Linked DNA regions of Caenorhabditis elegans. The protein of the gene in region 1 purifies or fractionates together with the protein of each later gene. This does not show direct contact. Each region holds a gene or a part of one and is shown in the gene's direction. Other genes may lie near its edges.

Region 1 (3,609 bases):
ATTTCCTGATTTAGGGTGATCAGTCAGAAGTTCAGAAAAAAGGTTGTAGGTACGAGGAAAACTTGATGCTTGAAACTTTTTATGGAATTGTGCTTTCTGACAACATCTTGGACACTGTGGAAAAGTCGCTCCTGGAGATCGAACTAATCCGAAAAATTTTCTAAGACCTTCATACTTTTTTAAAATTAAGATTAGATTTTATTTTAAAACACTTCTCCTCAAATTTCAAATTTCTAGACACTCCATTCGGTCAATTGCCAATTTTGGAAGTCGATGGAAAACCATTGGGACAGTCATATGCAATTGCTCGGTACTTGGCCAGAGAGTTCGGAATTGCTGGACAAAATGACACCGAGGCGGCAGAAGTGGATGCAATTGCTGATCAATTCAAGGATTATCTCAACGATGTCTCCCCATATTTAACAGTTCTTGCTGGATTCAAACCTGGAGACAAGGATCAACTGAGAACTGATGTTTTTGTTCCAGCTTTCAAAAAGAATTTCGAGTTTTTCGAGAACATTCTGGCATCTAATCACAGTGGTTTCTTTGTTGGAAACTCTTTGACATGGGTGGATCTTTTGATTTCGCAGCACGTTCAAGATATTTTGGATAAAGATTTGGCAGTTGTTGAGGAGTTCAAGAAGGTTTTGGCACATCGTAAGAAGGTTCAGAGCATCGACAGAATTCAGAAGTATATTGCAAACCGTCCAGATTACCCATTCTAAATTGAAATGAGTTTGCAATTTTGTATTATTTTTTAATTCATATTTCAAGAAGCAATTTTTTGCTAATTTGTTTTAATGGAAATCGATGTTTCTAAAATATCTTGAATGAATTGTTCTTTTAAAAATTTTATGGTAAAGTTTTCAGCAGGATGTTTCTATAGAAGCTTTTTGCATTGCAAGAGTGTTGAAATATACAGGATATTTACAAAAGCCTGGGAAGTAGGCATGCTTTTAGGTACAAATCAGACCTACACCGCCTTCCTTTGTGGTTTACCATCATAGCTAAAACTTTCCGAACATTCCCTGGTGAGACACAATGTTCAAAGCACAAAACCAATCACGTCATAATGTTAATTTGACTTTTATTGTCAAAAATTACAAAAGCGTCGTTTTCTGGAACATGAACATAATAAGAATTTTCAAATTTCGGTGGGCACAATAAATATGTAATCTTTTATTTATTTTTGGAGGATAGTCTTTTCAAAGGCAGGTGTATAACCCTCAAAAGAAAGCACGTTTGTGTTTCAAAGTGAGACTTAAATTATTTCAAAGACAAATTCCATAGGAAATCATTGTTCATCAGGCACCTTCCCAGAAATTAGGCTGTAGGCAGGCACGTAGGCTGCGGTAAATGCCTACGCCTCTTTTGCGCGAGATTATGAAATTGTGTTGTACTGTCGGAAAAATTTCAGAAACAAAAAAAAATATTTTTTGTGACTTTTTGTGTCAGTTATAGTAGTTTCTTATCATGGTATCTTCAATAATAATGGCAAGCGTAACAAGATGATTGATGCCATGGGTTTATATTTGTGAGTAGTCACAAATTGTGACACAACATTCCCTTCGAAAGATCTGGAAAAGTCACAAAACCTTGCATATATTTTTTTCAACCAATATTATTTTGACCTACTCTGTTCATCGTAACATTGCAACAACAAAAAACGATGACTACACTTTATGATTTCTAGTCAACAACGTGCGCGCAATGTGTAGAGCAAATGATGACAAACTACAGAATATGGTGAGTGGAGAGACGACAGACATTTGAGAAATGGGTATAAATAGAGACGGCCGGCATTCAGTGTTCAACCCTTCTCATCGACCACTCGATTTCTTGCTTGGTTATTTCAACAATGGTCCACTACAAGGTATCGTACTTCCCAATTCGTGGAGCTGGAGAGATTGCTCGTCAGATCTTGGCCTACGCTGGACAAGACTTCGAGGACAACAGAATCCCAAAGGAGGAATGGCCAGCTGTCAAGCCAAGTGAGTTTGGGATTGAAAATTATTGTTTGAATAGGTGCATAGATATTGAAATTGTTAGTTGAAATCTTATAAGTAGTTCCAAATTAAAAATTCATTTTAGAAATAGTTGCAGGCTTTTAGTTAAGCTGTCTTTGGTTTTATCAAAAAAATTTTGACTGACAAAATACGTGAAGAATATACTTTTAAATATTGTCAGTTAAACATTTTTTGATAAAAGTTAAGAGAACCGAGATGTAAGCCGTTAAAGTAGCAGGTACGGTATATTCCTTACCTTTCCTGTTCCTATTAACTAGGTCACACAAATTGCCTTTTTGCCTTTAGAGTAGATTGAAGTTGTTATTGAGTTACTTTTTGAAAGTTATTGAAATTTCGGTGTTCGAATGAATAGACCTTGAAAAAGGAAAAAAAAATTCAAGGCTAAACTCTAGGCAGTTTGACACCTAGAGATGTAAACAAAGTGCTTGGTATGACTGAGAGATAGAAGTTTGGAGTCAATGATTGTTTACTCAAAGAAAACTTTGAACTTTAGGTTTTAATTATATTATTTTTCAGGCACTCCATTCGGACAGCTTCCACTCCTTGAAGTTGACGGAAAGGTTCTTGCCCAATCTCATGCTATCGCCCGTTACTTGGCTCGTCAGTTCGGAATCAATGGAAAGTGTGCATGGGAGGAGGCTCAAGTCAACTCGGTTGCTGATCAATTCAAGGATTACCTCAACGAAGTTCGTCCATACTTCATGGTGAAGATGGGATTTGCTGAAGGAGATCTCGATGCTCTTGCCAAGGACGTCTTCCTTCCAGGATTCAAGAAGCACTATGGATTCTTTGCTAACTTCCTCAAGTCGGCTGGATCCGGATACTTGGTTGGAGACTCTTTGACCTTTGTCGACTTGCTCGTCGCTCAGCACACTGCTGATCTTCTGGCTGCCAACGCAGCTCTTCTCGATGAATTCCCACAATTCAAGGCTCATCAGGAAAAGGTTCACTCGAATGCCAACATCAAGAAGTGGTTGGAGACTCGTCCAGTTACTCCATTCTAAATGATTTCCAAATTCACATGGTCTCTTTATGTATTTTTGTATTGATATGGGATAAATGATTGCATTGAAATCTATTTATTCTGAAAAGTTCTCTAAAAAATAAGATAGCAGAAGCAACCGATATATTTGTTCAGACATCCGAATCATCATGAAAAGGCACTTTTTGAACTGAGTTGTCAGTAACATCTGCGCAGTGGGAAGAGTAAATGATGACAAACTTTAAAGTTTCCAATATACTCTTTATTTTAATGTACATTTATCTAATTCAACCAGTTCATTGAAACAGACATAACGCCAAACTATATTTGTGGTTTGTTGTCAGCAGAGTGCGATCAAAGCAGTGATGACTTAACAGTACACACACACTTAGAGAATATGAGTATAAATAGAAACTTCTTGGTTTTTATTTCAAACTGTATCACAGACTTGTACTCCCCAATTACTTGAAAAGTGGTAGTAATAATGGTCCACTACAAGCTATCATATTTCCCCATCCGTGGAGCTGGAGAGGTTATTCGACAGATATTTGTATATGCTGGACAAAGCTTTGAGGATCATAGAATTTCAATAGAGGAATG
Region 2 (2,662 bases), 320 kb from region 1:
CACGGATTTTGGAACGATTTCTACTATTCTGGCATTCTCCCAGCCGTTGAATAGTTTGTTGAGGTAGATTTATTTTTGTAAAAAAATAGCAAAATTTTATACTTTTTATTTATTCCAGATGCCCACCTTCCAACTCACAACGTTCAATTTTTAATTGGGCTCATCGAATTGTTGGCCTTCTCTCCTACACTTTTGCTGGTAAGTTTCCATGACTAGAATTCAAACTTTTTATACAAATTAAGTGGCCGCAATCTACGTGGCTGCCGCCAATTATCGAAAGACATGGTCAGAGCCAACAATGGAAATTGTGCTGACCAGTGTGCCGACCATTTTGTGTATCGCCACAGGATTCGTAGTTTTGTATTTGGAAAGCGAGCAGAGAAATGGGTATAGGGAAGTTGAAATGGTAAGATTTTTCAATTTGCATTTAAAGTTCTAAAGTTGGAATATCCTATGCAATAAGAACATTTCTACGAAGATCATACCATATCATGTTGCGAATCACATGAACCAGCAGTCCGTATGTAGTTTACTCCTACGGGCAATATAGGCCAAATCACTGGAGATTAAATGATTAATTTATTTTTATTTCAATTATTGGCAACAAAAATTGATAATTTAGTATTAAAGAAGTGTGGAAAAGGGGGAAAAGTTTCTAAAAAAGTTAGTGATCCAAAACATAATATCTCATTTGTAAAACTAATAGTTTCGGTAAACAGTGAGAAAAATGAGTTTAAAAATGTTTTAAACTTGAATTCCCGCGCACAAGAAGTTTGAATATTTTTTGAGAATTTTTTTCTTAATTTTCAGAATTTTGTTGAATGTTCAAAGCACCTGAATTGCAATTTTTTGCATCAAATTTGAGAAAAAAAACTAGAATTTTTAAGGTAAAAAGAACATGTTTTATTAAAATTTTCAAGCAAAAAATTCTACAAAAATTAAGACTAACTTTAACGTCACAAATTTTTCAATTCAACATTTGTAACACAAAAAAATGTTCCACAAAAGACACAACTTACAGATCGAAAAATCCGAAAAAAATTCCAAAAAACCGGAGCGTCTTCAACTTATCCAAATCTCATGGATGTTCGCCGTTGTTGGAATCTGCTTCGGTGTCGCCATTTCATTATCTCTTCTGATTGCAAATGGATTCAAAAATGACTAATCACCTCTTTTTCAATGACAACTAATTCTCGTACCAACCACTTTTCTCTTTCTGACCTGACCTGCAATAATCCATTAAACGGCTGTGTGTGTCCTCTTTCTCACTTTATCACCAACTATCTCTTCTAGAAAATAAATATATATTTTCTATATGTTTCTTCTTATAACAGAGTCTATACATTATTACATGCAATTCATCTTTCGCAACATTGACCGGCCTCAAAAAATCCGATAAAAGTACAATGGTGACTGGTGTTCTAGGAAATAGGATTGTTATGATAGGGAGTGATATCTTATCTCTTTTATTATCACAGCCTGACCTCAATATGTCAGAGGTGGAGTCTTCCGGGTGACCCTTTAAATAGTCCGGGCCTTGACACCGATAGGCTGTGTATTCTTCATTTCTTCGATCTTCCACCTGTTGCAGTTTTCTTTTATTTTTCAAAGTTAACATATCTATATTCATAGTAATTAATTCTAGAATGAACCGCTTCGCAATTCTCCTGGCTCTCCCACTTCTTGCTCTTGCTGCTACTCCAAATGAGAAGCTGAAGCTATGCTGTGCCACGTTGAAGGATGCCGATAAGGAGTGCGTCGATCGATTCTGTGACTTCAATGCTCTTTCTCAAGCTAACGTAAGTTGTCTCCTGAGAGCTAGTTGCGCGTCAATTCTGATGTATTTAGTCAGCTTACTAGAAATAACCATTACACGTTCTTATTTCAGATTCTGAACTTCATGTCGACTTGCGGAGAGCGTGGACCAACTGTCGGAGAAATGTGGGATTGTGCTTCCCTCCGTCACAACCACGAGGACTGCTGCAAGAAGGCCGGTGTCTCTGGAGAATGCCTCAAGTACTGTACCGCTCATAAGGGAGCTCCATCCAACTATTTGGACTATGCTTTCTGTACCGAGAACTTCAACGAGATCCGTGATTGCTTCTACAACCATTTGGACAAGAACGAGCCATTCAAGAAGCTCTAAATGGAAATATAATAATTGAAATTTTCTTTATATTATGAAACGTGTATTTAATAATATGGAATAAAGATCAACTTGATGATAAAGTTAACAGTTTTCCAAGCTATTTTGTCTTTTGATTGGCTTGTCCGGAGTTCTGGAATTGCCAGTTCAAAGGCACATGATGTTTTTCCAAGTGGGTCTCGCCACGATCTCAGACATAATTGTCGTTACAGGGCCCAGTTTTCCAGGTGAAATAGAAAATATAGTTTATGAAATTTCAAACTCAAAATTTCCGGTAGAAAGCCCGGATTTAGGACCTAGTTCCATGTTTCCGCAATGTCCTACAAAATTCCCCCATTTTCCAAAACTACAGTAATCATACAGTACTCAATCACTACTTTACCCAAGCTACAGCAACTAACAACATAACTTTCCCAAGTTTCACGTCTCGCCTTCTTTCTCGTATTGTTTTGTTTTGACAATTTGAAGGAAAAAGCTGTTGAGTCGAGTGTTTGTCGGGGCGGCTCACACTGTAGT
Region 3 (4,309 bases), 8.1 Mb from region 1:
AACTTTTTATTTTTTCTGTAGATTTTAAACCTCGATTTCAACGGGTTCCCCAATCCAGTGTTTGTACATATAGTTTACAATTTTACAATCAGTGAATAAAAACGTGTAATTTGTATTAAAAAATATTTTATATTTTGAGAAGAGAATGAGTTGGAACAACAAAAATAATCTGACGTGGATATATCCAAATAAATGGAAATAAAATGTATTTCCAAAGTTTTCACAATTCGAGGAGGATGTCTAACCTCACTTTCGTCAGAAATAGCTATTGTGAGTTTTGAAAAAAGTTACAAATTATGGAGCCACTACTGCTCGACTTGGAGCCAAAACTCCTGGACTTCAACATCTTAAACCTTGGATTTTCAGATCCTCAAAATGGCCCGTACAGTGATGGATTGAGTGAGCTTGTCCACAATATCTCATACTCTAACAGTTCTGAAAATTGTAGGTGTTGTGACTGGTCAAGTTCAGGAGACAGTTGACGTTTTTATGGCTATTATCCTGGTCATGATTGTCATTTTTCTAGCTGTTCATGTGAGTTTCTGGCTACAAGATTATTGTGTTGTGGAATATGAAAATGCCTGCCTACTTGCCTACGCCTTCGACGCCTGAGCAGGAATTTTTGTTTTTGAGATATTTTGAACTACAATTTATCGTTTTTCTACGTTTTTCATATCCAAAAGTTCTTGTTCCTTTTTTAAACAATTGCAGGCACGTACTGTAGGCACATAGGCTAGCGTTTCTCATGCACACAAAAAAATTTTACCAAAAATCTATCTAATTCTCTCTTTTCCAGCTCTTCATTCGATTCCACTACAAGGCAAAAACCGAGTATGCCCTCAACGAGCTGCGGGAGAAATTCGACAAAAACCCCAATGGTTCATCTGCATTTGCTCTGCCAAAGGATCCGAAAAAGGCAGGTGATTCTGCTCCAAAACCAGTTGAGATTTTGATGGAGCCGGAGCAACTTGCTCCGATGGTTCACTACATTGCAATGGCGCCACCTGGAAAAGCGGAGCAGCCGAACAAGAATGTCTTCTACAATGCGAATCCGTGAAAGCTCAGAAGTGAACTCGATGTCTAGTTTTTATTTTATTTTTTGTTTATTCTAGTGTTTTTCTGTTGTAAACTATGGATGTGTAATAAATGACTTTGGAGGCTGAAAACAGCCATAACCATGAGAAAAGTTGGAATCCTGAAAAATCTAGGGCGGGGGAGACTGCCAATTTCAGAGACGTTTTGACAAATTTAGCGATTTTCTGTTTTTCTTCATGATCTAAAATTTGTCATTTTCCAACTCTTACTAATCTCCGAGTTCGAATCTCGTACAAGATTACAACTACAAGCTTCTACCAGCAACTGAGCTCATGTGGTTCATAGCTTCAGCAACCCGTGAGACGTCGGCCCGTCCAAGACAACTGAAAGAATAGTCTTGCAGCCGACACTTTCCGGGTTCAAATACTAATTTAGAAACCTGTAAATCTTAATTTTTGGAGCGCCTCTAGCAGCCGACATCTTGCTGGTTTCTGAAAAAAAAAACAAGATTTCAAAAGCTGAAATTAGCTTGCAAGCCAAAATTTCAACTTTTGTGCCCACGAGTCTATTCAGATCAAACCATCTTCCCCTCACATTAATGTTCGAAAACTGATCACTGCTGTTTGCCCGTCTGCGTCTCTCCTCTCTCCTCCATTCCACTTGTTTTCTTCTCTATTTCTCCACGTGTTTGTACATAAACGTGATAATAATTATTGTTGGCGCGATTTATTTATTGAATTTAAAAATTAAATTCTTTAAATAAAAACCTTACGAATCAATTTATTTCTCGATTTCATTGCGTTTACGACATTTTATTTGTGAGTTTTTGTTGGCACGTGGCAATTGTTTTATACTTTTCTTTTTTTCAGCAAAATGAGTGCAAGTCTGGCACGTGGAATACTGAGCAAGATGGGCGGCTCATGCTGTCCTCACCATGCCCCAGCTACAAATCCATTCAAACTTGCAAAGCTTCATGGAAATAACAGTTAGTTTTTTACCCGAGCAGGCACGCAGGTAGGCGTGCCTGCCTGAAAACTTTCTAAAAAACCAATATTTTCAGAGTCAACAGATTACGCGTTCGAGATGGTGTGCTCAACTCTTCGTTTCGGAAAAGGAGTCACGTTGGAGGTTTGCTAGCAATATCACACATCACTAACTCAACTGTGAACTTTATCAGATTGGATACGACGTCCGTAATCTCGGAGCAAAGAAAACGTTGCTTATCACTGATAAGAATGTGCAGAATACGATCGCTTTTAAGTGAGTTATAGGAAAGCTTTAAAGCTCTAAAATTATTCAACAGACAAATTTTAGAAACGCCGAGCAAGCCTTAAAAATGGTGAATATCGAGTATGAGGTGTTTGATGATGTGCTCATTGAGCCAACCGTCAACAGTATGCAGAAAGCAATCGCATTTGCCAAATCGAAGCAATTCGATAGTTTCATCGCTGTTGGTGGAGGATCTGTGATCGACACGACGAAGGCTGCAGCTCTATATGCTTCTAATCCAGAAGCGGACTTCCTCGACTTTGTTGGACCACCATTCGGAAAATCCATGCAACCAAAGAACCCAATGCTCCCATTGATCGCTGTGCCAACAACTGCTGGAACTGGATCCGAGACTACCGCGGCTGCAATCATGGATCTTCCAGAGCACAAGTGCAAGACTGGAATCAGACTTCGTTGCATCAAGCCGTACTTGGCAGTTGTGGATCCGTTGAATGTGATGAGTATGCCTCGAAACGTGGCAATCTATTCTGGTTTCGATGTTCTCTGTCACGCGTTGGAAAGCTTCACAGCTTTGCCATTCGATCAAAGATCTCCACGCCCTGAGAATCCAGGAGTTCGTCCACTTTATCAAGGTTCCAACCCGATCAGTGATGTCTGGAGTAAAGAGGCTTTGAGAGTGAGTTGGAATTTCAACCATGAAGCTCTAAATGAATTTATATAATTTCAGATCATTGGAAAATACTTCCGCCGTTCTATCTTCGATCCAACCGACGAAGAAGCTCGTACAGAAATGCTCAAGGCTAGTTCATTTGCTGGGATTGGATTCGGAAACGCTGGGGTTCATCTTTGCCACGGACTCTCCTACCCAATCAGCTCCCAGGCGAAAAGCTGTGTGGCTGATGATTATCCAAAGGAGAAGAACTTGATTCCACATGGACTCTCTGTAATGACAACCGCAGTGGCTGATTTCGAGTTTACAACTGCCGCGTGCCCAGATAGACATTTGATTTCTGCACAGACTCTTGGTGCAGATATTCCGGTATGTAAATTGGCCACCAAGATGGTTCTGAACTAACTAGATATTTCCAGAACAATGCCAGCAATGAGTACATTTCCCGAACTCTTTGTGATCGGCTGAGAGGTTATATGCGAGACTTTGGAGTTCCAAATGGACTGAAAGGAATGGGATTCGAATTTTCTGATATTGGTAGAACACCTCTCTCTAGTTGAACTGCCTTATATTATACTATTTTCAGAAATGCTTACTGAAGCAGCCAGCCACTCCGTCCCAAATATTGCAATCTCTCCAAAGTCTGCGGATCGTGAAATTATCAGCACTCTGTACGAGAAGTCCCTTACGGTTTATTAGTCATTTTTCTTATTGTACTTATTTTATTATTGGTTGTACCATATACGTTATTGTTTCTTATGTTCAATGTAAATGTATTTAGAATAAATAAAGAAACAGAAACAGAAACAAAACAATGGCGCCAGGTGTCACCAGAATAATTAGAATCCTTCACCCCCCCCCCCCGTTTTTCTTCAAGGAACCGTTTAAATATTGCCGGCTTACTGTACTAATTAGGGATGACTAGAGGCGGGGAAGAACGAAGAAACATTACTACGCGACACGCAAACAATCGTAGGAATGTCCTTTGAAGCGCGGCGTGCCGGCATATTTGAATTTTGTTGCTGAAAGCTTTTTGGCCTTGGCTGTTATCAAGGATCTATGTATGTTTTGAGAGAATTGTCGAGAATAGCAGGATTTTGGAGACCAGGTACGGCGATACACTGGGTTCTTTTGGAAATTTGGCATATTTTAAGGTTGAATTTTTTTAGGAATTCGTTGGCAAAATGGTCAATTTTCATATCTCATTATCATTAATGTCATCACGAACTTTTCTAACATTAAACTTAACAAATAATTTTAAAATTTCTATATTTTTGAAAACAAAACTTAGATTTTGAGACTTTGCTAAAAATTTAAAAAAATATTTTTATGGCTTTTAAAATATTTGAAAAATTGATAAGAAGGTTTTTTTCC
Region 4 (3,524 bases), 4.8 Mb from region 1:
AGTCTTGATCCTCAAAAATCTTCTCACTTCGAGACCACAATCTGACCCACATTTCCCGAGCTGCTCGGAGCATCAGCTCCTTATCCTGCTCCTGCAAAACCAACAAAACCTTCATTGCTCCAGTAGTACGGTACTTTTTGATCCATTCCATGAACAATGGTGGTGGAGTCAATGGAATATCCCAGAACTTTGCAGTTCGCTTCAAATCAGTCATCATCATAATTGATCGAGCTGGGAGCATTGCTGGAGGACGATTTCCTGATTCTTTCATGACGGCTCCGAGGAAAAATGGAATGTAACGGATTGTTACTCCTTTCCATTGGGTTTCCAGTTTTTGGAAGACCTGCAATTTATCATTGCATAATTTCTATAACTATAATAAATTTACGAATTTTAAAACTAAAAAATATTATTGTACCGTAACACTGTTCAAAAAAAATTCCTGACTTCCTAGGATAAGAGAACCATCGACACATGCGTACAACCACAGTTTTTTATGTAATATCGTATATAAAAAAAACCAACCTCAAAAGCAATATAACTGTACGGAGAAATCACGTCAAAATAAAAGTCGATACGTGGAAGTTTTGGCATTTTCCAAAATTAATTCGAATTTTTGGGCACGGCGAACGGAAATCTGCAAGACAAAAATCCGTAAGTTGAGTGTAGATTTGGAAAAGATGTTTTGAAAAATATTCGCGGGAACGATAAAGTAGATCAAAGTTATATTTTCTGCAATTTTTCTTTGAGAACCCGTTTAAAAAATTAAATAAAAATTGCACAAACAACCGTGTGGTTTTATAAGTTTTCGAGACAACGAACTGTGATCTATGTTCGGTTTGCAGTGATAAGAAAGTGGGAAATGAAGATAGATGCAAAAATAACGTGGGAAAATAATAGTTCTAGAGAAGTAAAGCAACGTGGTGACTTGTTCCACACCGTGAGACTACACTGTAGCTTGTATCGGGAAAAAGATACGCAGAGATGACAGACAATCTGGTTTCTCTGCGTCTAGCTCTCTTGGTTTGAATGATGCATTGGGGAAACTACAAGAATACCTTGGATATTTGGAAAACGCGTATATCAATTTCTTAACCTTTCAAAAATTAAAGCTTTTCTGGATACCTGGAAAGTCCCAATTCGCGTTTTTTACATGGAATTTTCATAAAAGCTTTCTTTTAAAAATGTTTATTTTCTTTTTCCATTGACATATTTTGCATAGCAAGGATCTTTGGAGCTTTTCAAAGCACAAACCTTTGGAATTCATTTGCCGGTGTCTTTTGAGTACCTGCACCTGACACCTGGCACCTGACACCGAGAAAACATTTTTCCTGTGATCATAATTCATTTGGAATTTTTATCAATCAAGATCTGCAATCACAATATGTATTGTGACGTAATAAGGCCATCAAGACATATTGAAAGATTTACAAGGGTTCGGGGAAGAAGGAGGGAGGATAATAAAATGACCACGGGTGTACATTGTTATTCTTTTATTTTTATTTTCTCGCGCGTTTTTGGTTCTACTTTTTGAACTATCTAGTTTAACATTCAACTTCCTCCTTGAATATTTGTTAAATTTCTAAAGTTACGACTAAAAATTGTTTGAAAATTTAAATTTTTTGTCAGGTGTTATAATTTTTGAAAGTTTGAACTTTTTGCAGACTAGCTGCTAACACCTTTATACCAATATTTGATAACAAATCGTATCAATATAAAAACTGATAAGATACTAGTTAGCTCGGTGCATCATTTCAATTTCGAGTAGACTATTAACAATAGTTATTTGATATTGAACCTGCTATATAATAATGTCTGATGTGAGTTTGGACCTATTTAATTGTCAGTTTGGAAATTAGAAACACTGGTTTTACTTTTTGAGTTAAAATGATTTTGAAAACTAATTAAACAATTGAATTTTCAGTCTGAAACAATGTCTGCTGCAAAATCTGCTGCCCATATTCTGAAGAGAGTGTTGATGGTTCCACCAAAGCATTTCACAGTCGAATACACAATCAATCCATGGATGGGAGGAGTTGTTGACAAGCAAAAAGCTCATCAGCAATGGAATTCTTTGAAATCTGCAATCGAAAACGCTGGTGTTCCAGTTTTGACAATGGAGCAAACAGAGGGTCTTCCAGATCAAGTTTTCGTTTGTAATAGTGGATTGGTCTATGATGATCAGGTTTACTTGTCCAGATTCAGGCATAAGGAAAGGTGAGTTTGAAAAAAGAATAAAGGAAATTGTGTGTGAAACATTTTATGTTTTTACAGAAGCGGTGAGCAACCACTCTACTTGGAATGGTTCAAGAAGAACAATATCAAAACTATTGGGGAAGGATATGAAGAGGTATAAATTTGCCAGAGAATTTTTGTTCTCCATTTTGAAACATAAAATTTCAGATCTTCGAAGGCGGAGGAGATGCTGTATTTTCTGACCGTAAAACTCTTTGGGCTGGTTATGGAGAGCGTAGTTCAAAGTCTGTCTACGAGAAAATCAAGGCACTCGGGACTTTTGATATTGTTCTCTGTGATATGATTCTTCCAAACTTTTATCACTTGGACACTTGTTTTGCTCCAGTTGATGAGACCAGCGCCCTCTACTACCCACCTGCATTCTCTGAGGCAACCAATAAGGAGGTGAGTTTTTTTTTGAAATCCCTAGTTAAAAAACTTTTTGTGTGCAGATCCTCCGTCGTCTTCCAAACTCGATTGCTGTCTCCGAAGCTGAAGCAAATGCTTTCGTGTGCAACGCCATCACTATTCGTGATACCGTAATCTCCCCAATCGGTGTCTCTCAAGCAACCAAGGATTATCTGTCGGCTCGTGGAAAACGTGTCGAAGAAGTTGATATGAGTGAATTTATGAAAAGTGGTGGAGCTTGTCAGTGCTTGGTGCTCAGATTGCTCTAATTGTGATAGGATGAATTGATGGCTGGATATTTGAATTTTTATAGTGAATCTTTGATGAAGTTTTGAATAAATAAAGCGTTTACTGGAATATTTCAAATTGGAGTGTTGGCTTTCAAAAAGCCGTCTAAAAAATTGAGAGTTTGGTTGAGCTTAAGCCAAAAAGAGTCAAGTAAAAAAGATGCTATTATAATATAGCATTGTGAAGCTATCGAGAAATCAGTGTTGTACGTAAAATTTTTCAAAAAAAAAAATTCTGATTTTTCTCTCACTTCACTGCTTTACCGTTAAAGTACGGATTCCCGAGTTAAATTTCAAGTTAATTTTAAATTCAGATAAGTTTTGAACCTTTTCAGCTTTCAATTTGTATGATCTTCATTGGAAAATATAACCACAAAAATCACATGAGAAAGATACTAGAACCGGTAGGAGGGTAAGGGTGGCACTGAGAAATTCTAGAATTGTAATGTTACAACTGATCACTTTTCTTCTCATCTCTCTTTTGGGTATTTTGTTGTGGTATTCATTTCTAGAAAAAATATTATATTCTGTATTTCAACAAATGAAGAAGATTACTTTATTATCTGGAATTTTGTTTCTTATTGGATATTCTGA

What was found.
Region 2: the proteins of gst-7 (region 1) and dbd-2 fractionate together in Caenorhabditis elegans (co-fractionation; one large-scale study listed by BioGRID). This does not show direct contact.
Region 3: the proteins of gst-7 (region 1) and hphd-1 fractionate together in Caenorhabditis elegans (co-fractionation; one large-scale study listed by BioGRID). This does not show direct contact.
Region 4: the proteins of gst-7 (region 1) and ZK1307.1 fractionate together in Caenorhabditis elegans (co-fractionation; one large-scale study listed by BioGRID). This does not show direct contact.

Annotation. Positions count from the first base shown.
Region 1 is NC_003280.10:4,880,261-4,883,869, forward strand, and holds gst-7 (putative glutathione S-transferase 7), read left to right. Parts: upstream 1-1,831; 5' UTR 1,832-1,858; coding exon 1,859-1,991; intron 1,992-2,543; coding exon 2,544-3,031; 3' UTR 3,032-3,098; downstream 3,099-3,609. Other genes in the region: gst-6 (putative glutathione S-transferase 6), read left to right, coding at 238-725; gst-8 (putative glutathione S-transferase 8), read left to right, coding at 3,494-3,609.
Region 2 is NC_003280.10:4,561,305-4,563,966, forward strand, and holds dbd-2 (DB domain-containing protein), read left to right. Parts: upstream 1-1,645; 5' UTR 1,646-1,646; coding exon 1,647-1,799; intron 1,800-1,888; coding exon 1,889-2,146; 3' UTR 2,147-2,156; downstream 2,157-2,662. Other genes in the region: M03A1.8 (ascorbate ferrireductase (transmembrane)), read left to right, coding at 1-63, 119-198, 243-406, 1,022-1,165.
Region 3 is NC_003280.10:12,993,792-12,998,100, reverse strand, and holds hphd-1 (Hydroxyacid-oxoacid transhydrogenase, mitochondrial), read left to right. Parts: upstream 1-1,756; 5' UTR 1,757-1,853; intron 1,854-1,904; 5' UTR 1,905-1,908; coding exon 1,909-2,020; intron 2,021-2,095; coding exon 2,096-2,163; intron 2,164-2,212; coding exon 2,213-2,295; intron 2,296-2,349; coding exon 2,350-2,941; intron 2,942-2,992; coding exon 2,993-3,304; intron 3,305-3,354; coding exon 3,355-3,472; intron 3,473-3,521; coding exon 3,522-3,634; 3' UTR 3,635-3,739; downstream 3,740-4,309. Other genes in the region: Y38F1A.8 (Serpentine Receptor, class T), read left to right, coding at 1-1; Y38F1A.7 (uncharacterized protein), read left to right, coding at 297-399, 449-534, 797-1,057. UniProt on the Caenorhabditis elegans protein: Catalyzes the cofactor-independent reversible oxidation of gamma-hydroxybutyrate (GHB) to succinic semialdehyde (SSA) coupled to reduction of 2-ketoglutarate (2-KG) to D-2-hydroxyglutarate (D-2-HG).
Region 4 is NC_003280.10:9,653,819-9,657,342, reverse strand, and holds ZK1307.1 (Amidinotransferase), read left to right. Parts: upstream 1-1,762; 5' UTR 1,763-1,811; coding exon 1,812-1,820; intron 1,821-1,924; coding exon 1,925-2,217; intron 2,218-2,274; coding exon 2,275-2,350; intron 2,351-2,403; coding exon 2,404-2,640; intron 2,641-2,687; coding exon 2,688-2,912; 3' UTR 2,913-2,998; downstream 2,999-3,524. Other genes in the region: gstk-1 (Glutathione S-transferase kappa 1), read right to left, coding at 1-343, 526-594; ZK1307.2 (uncharacterized protein), read left to right, coding at 3,472-3,524.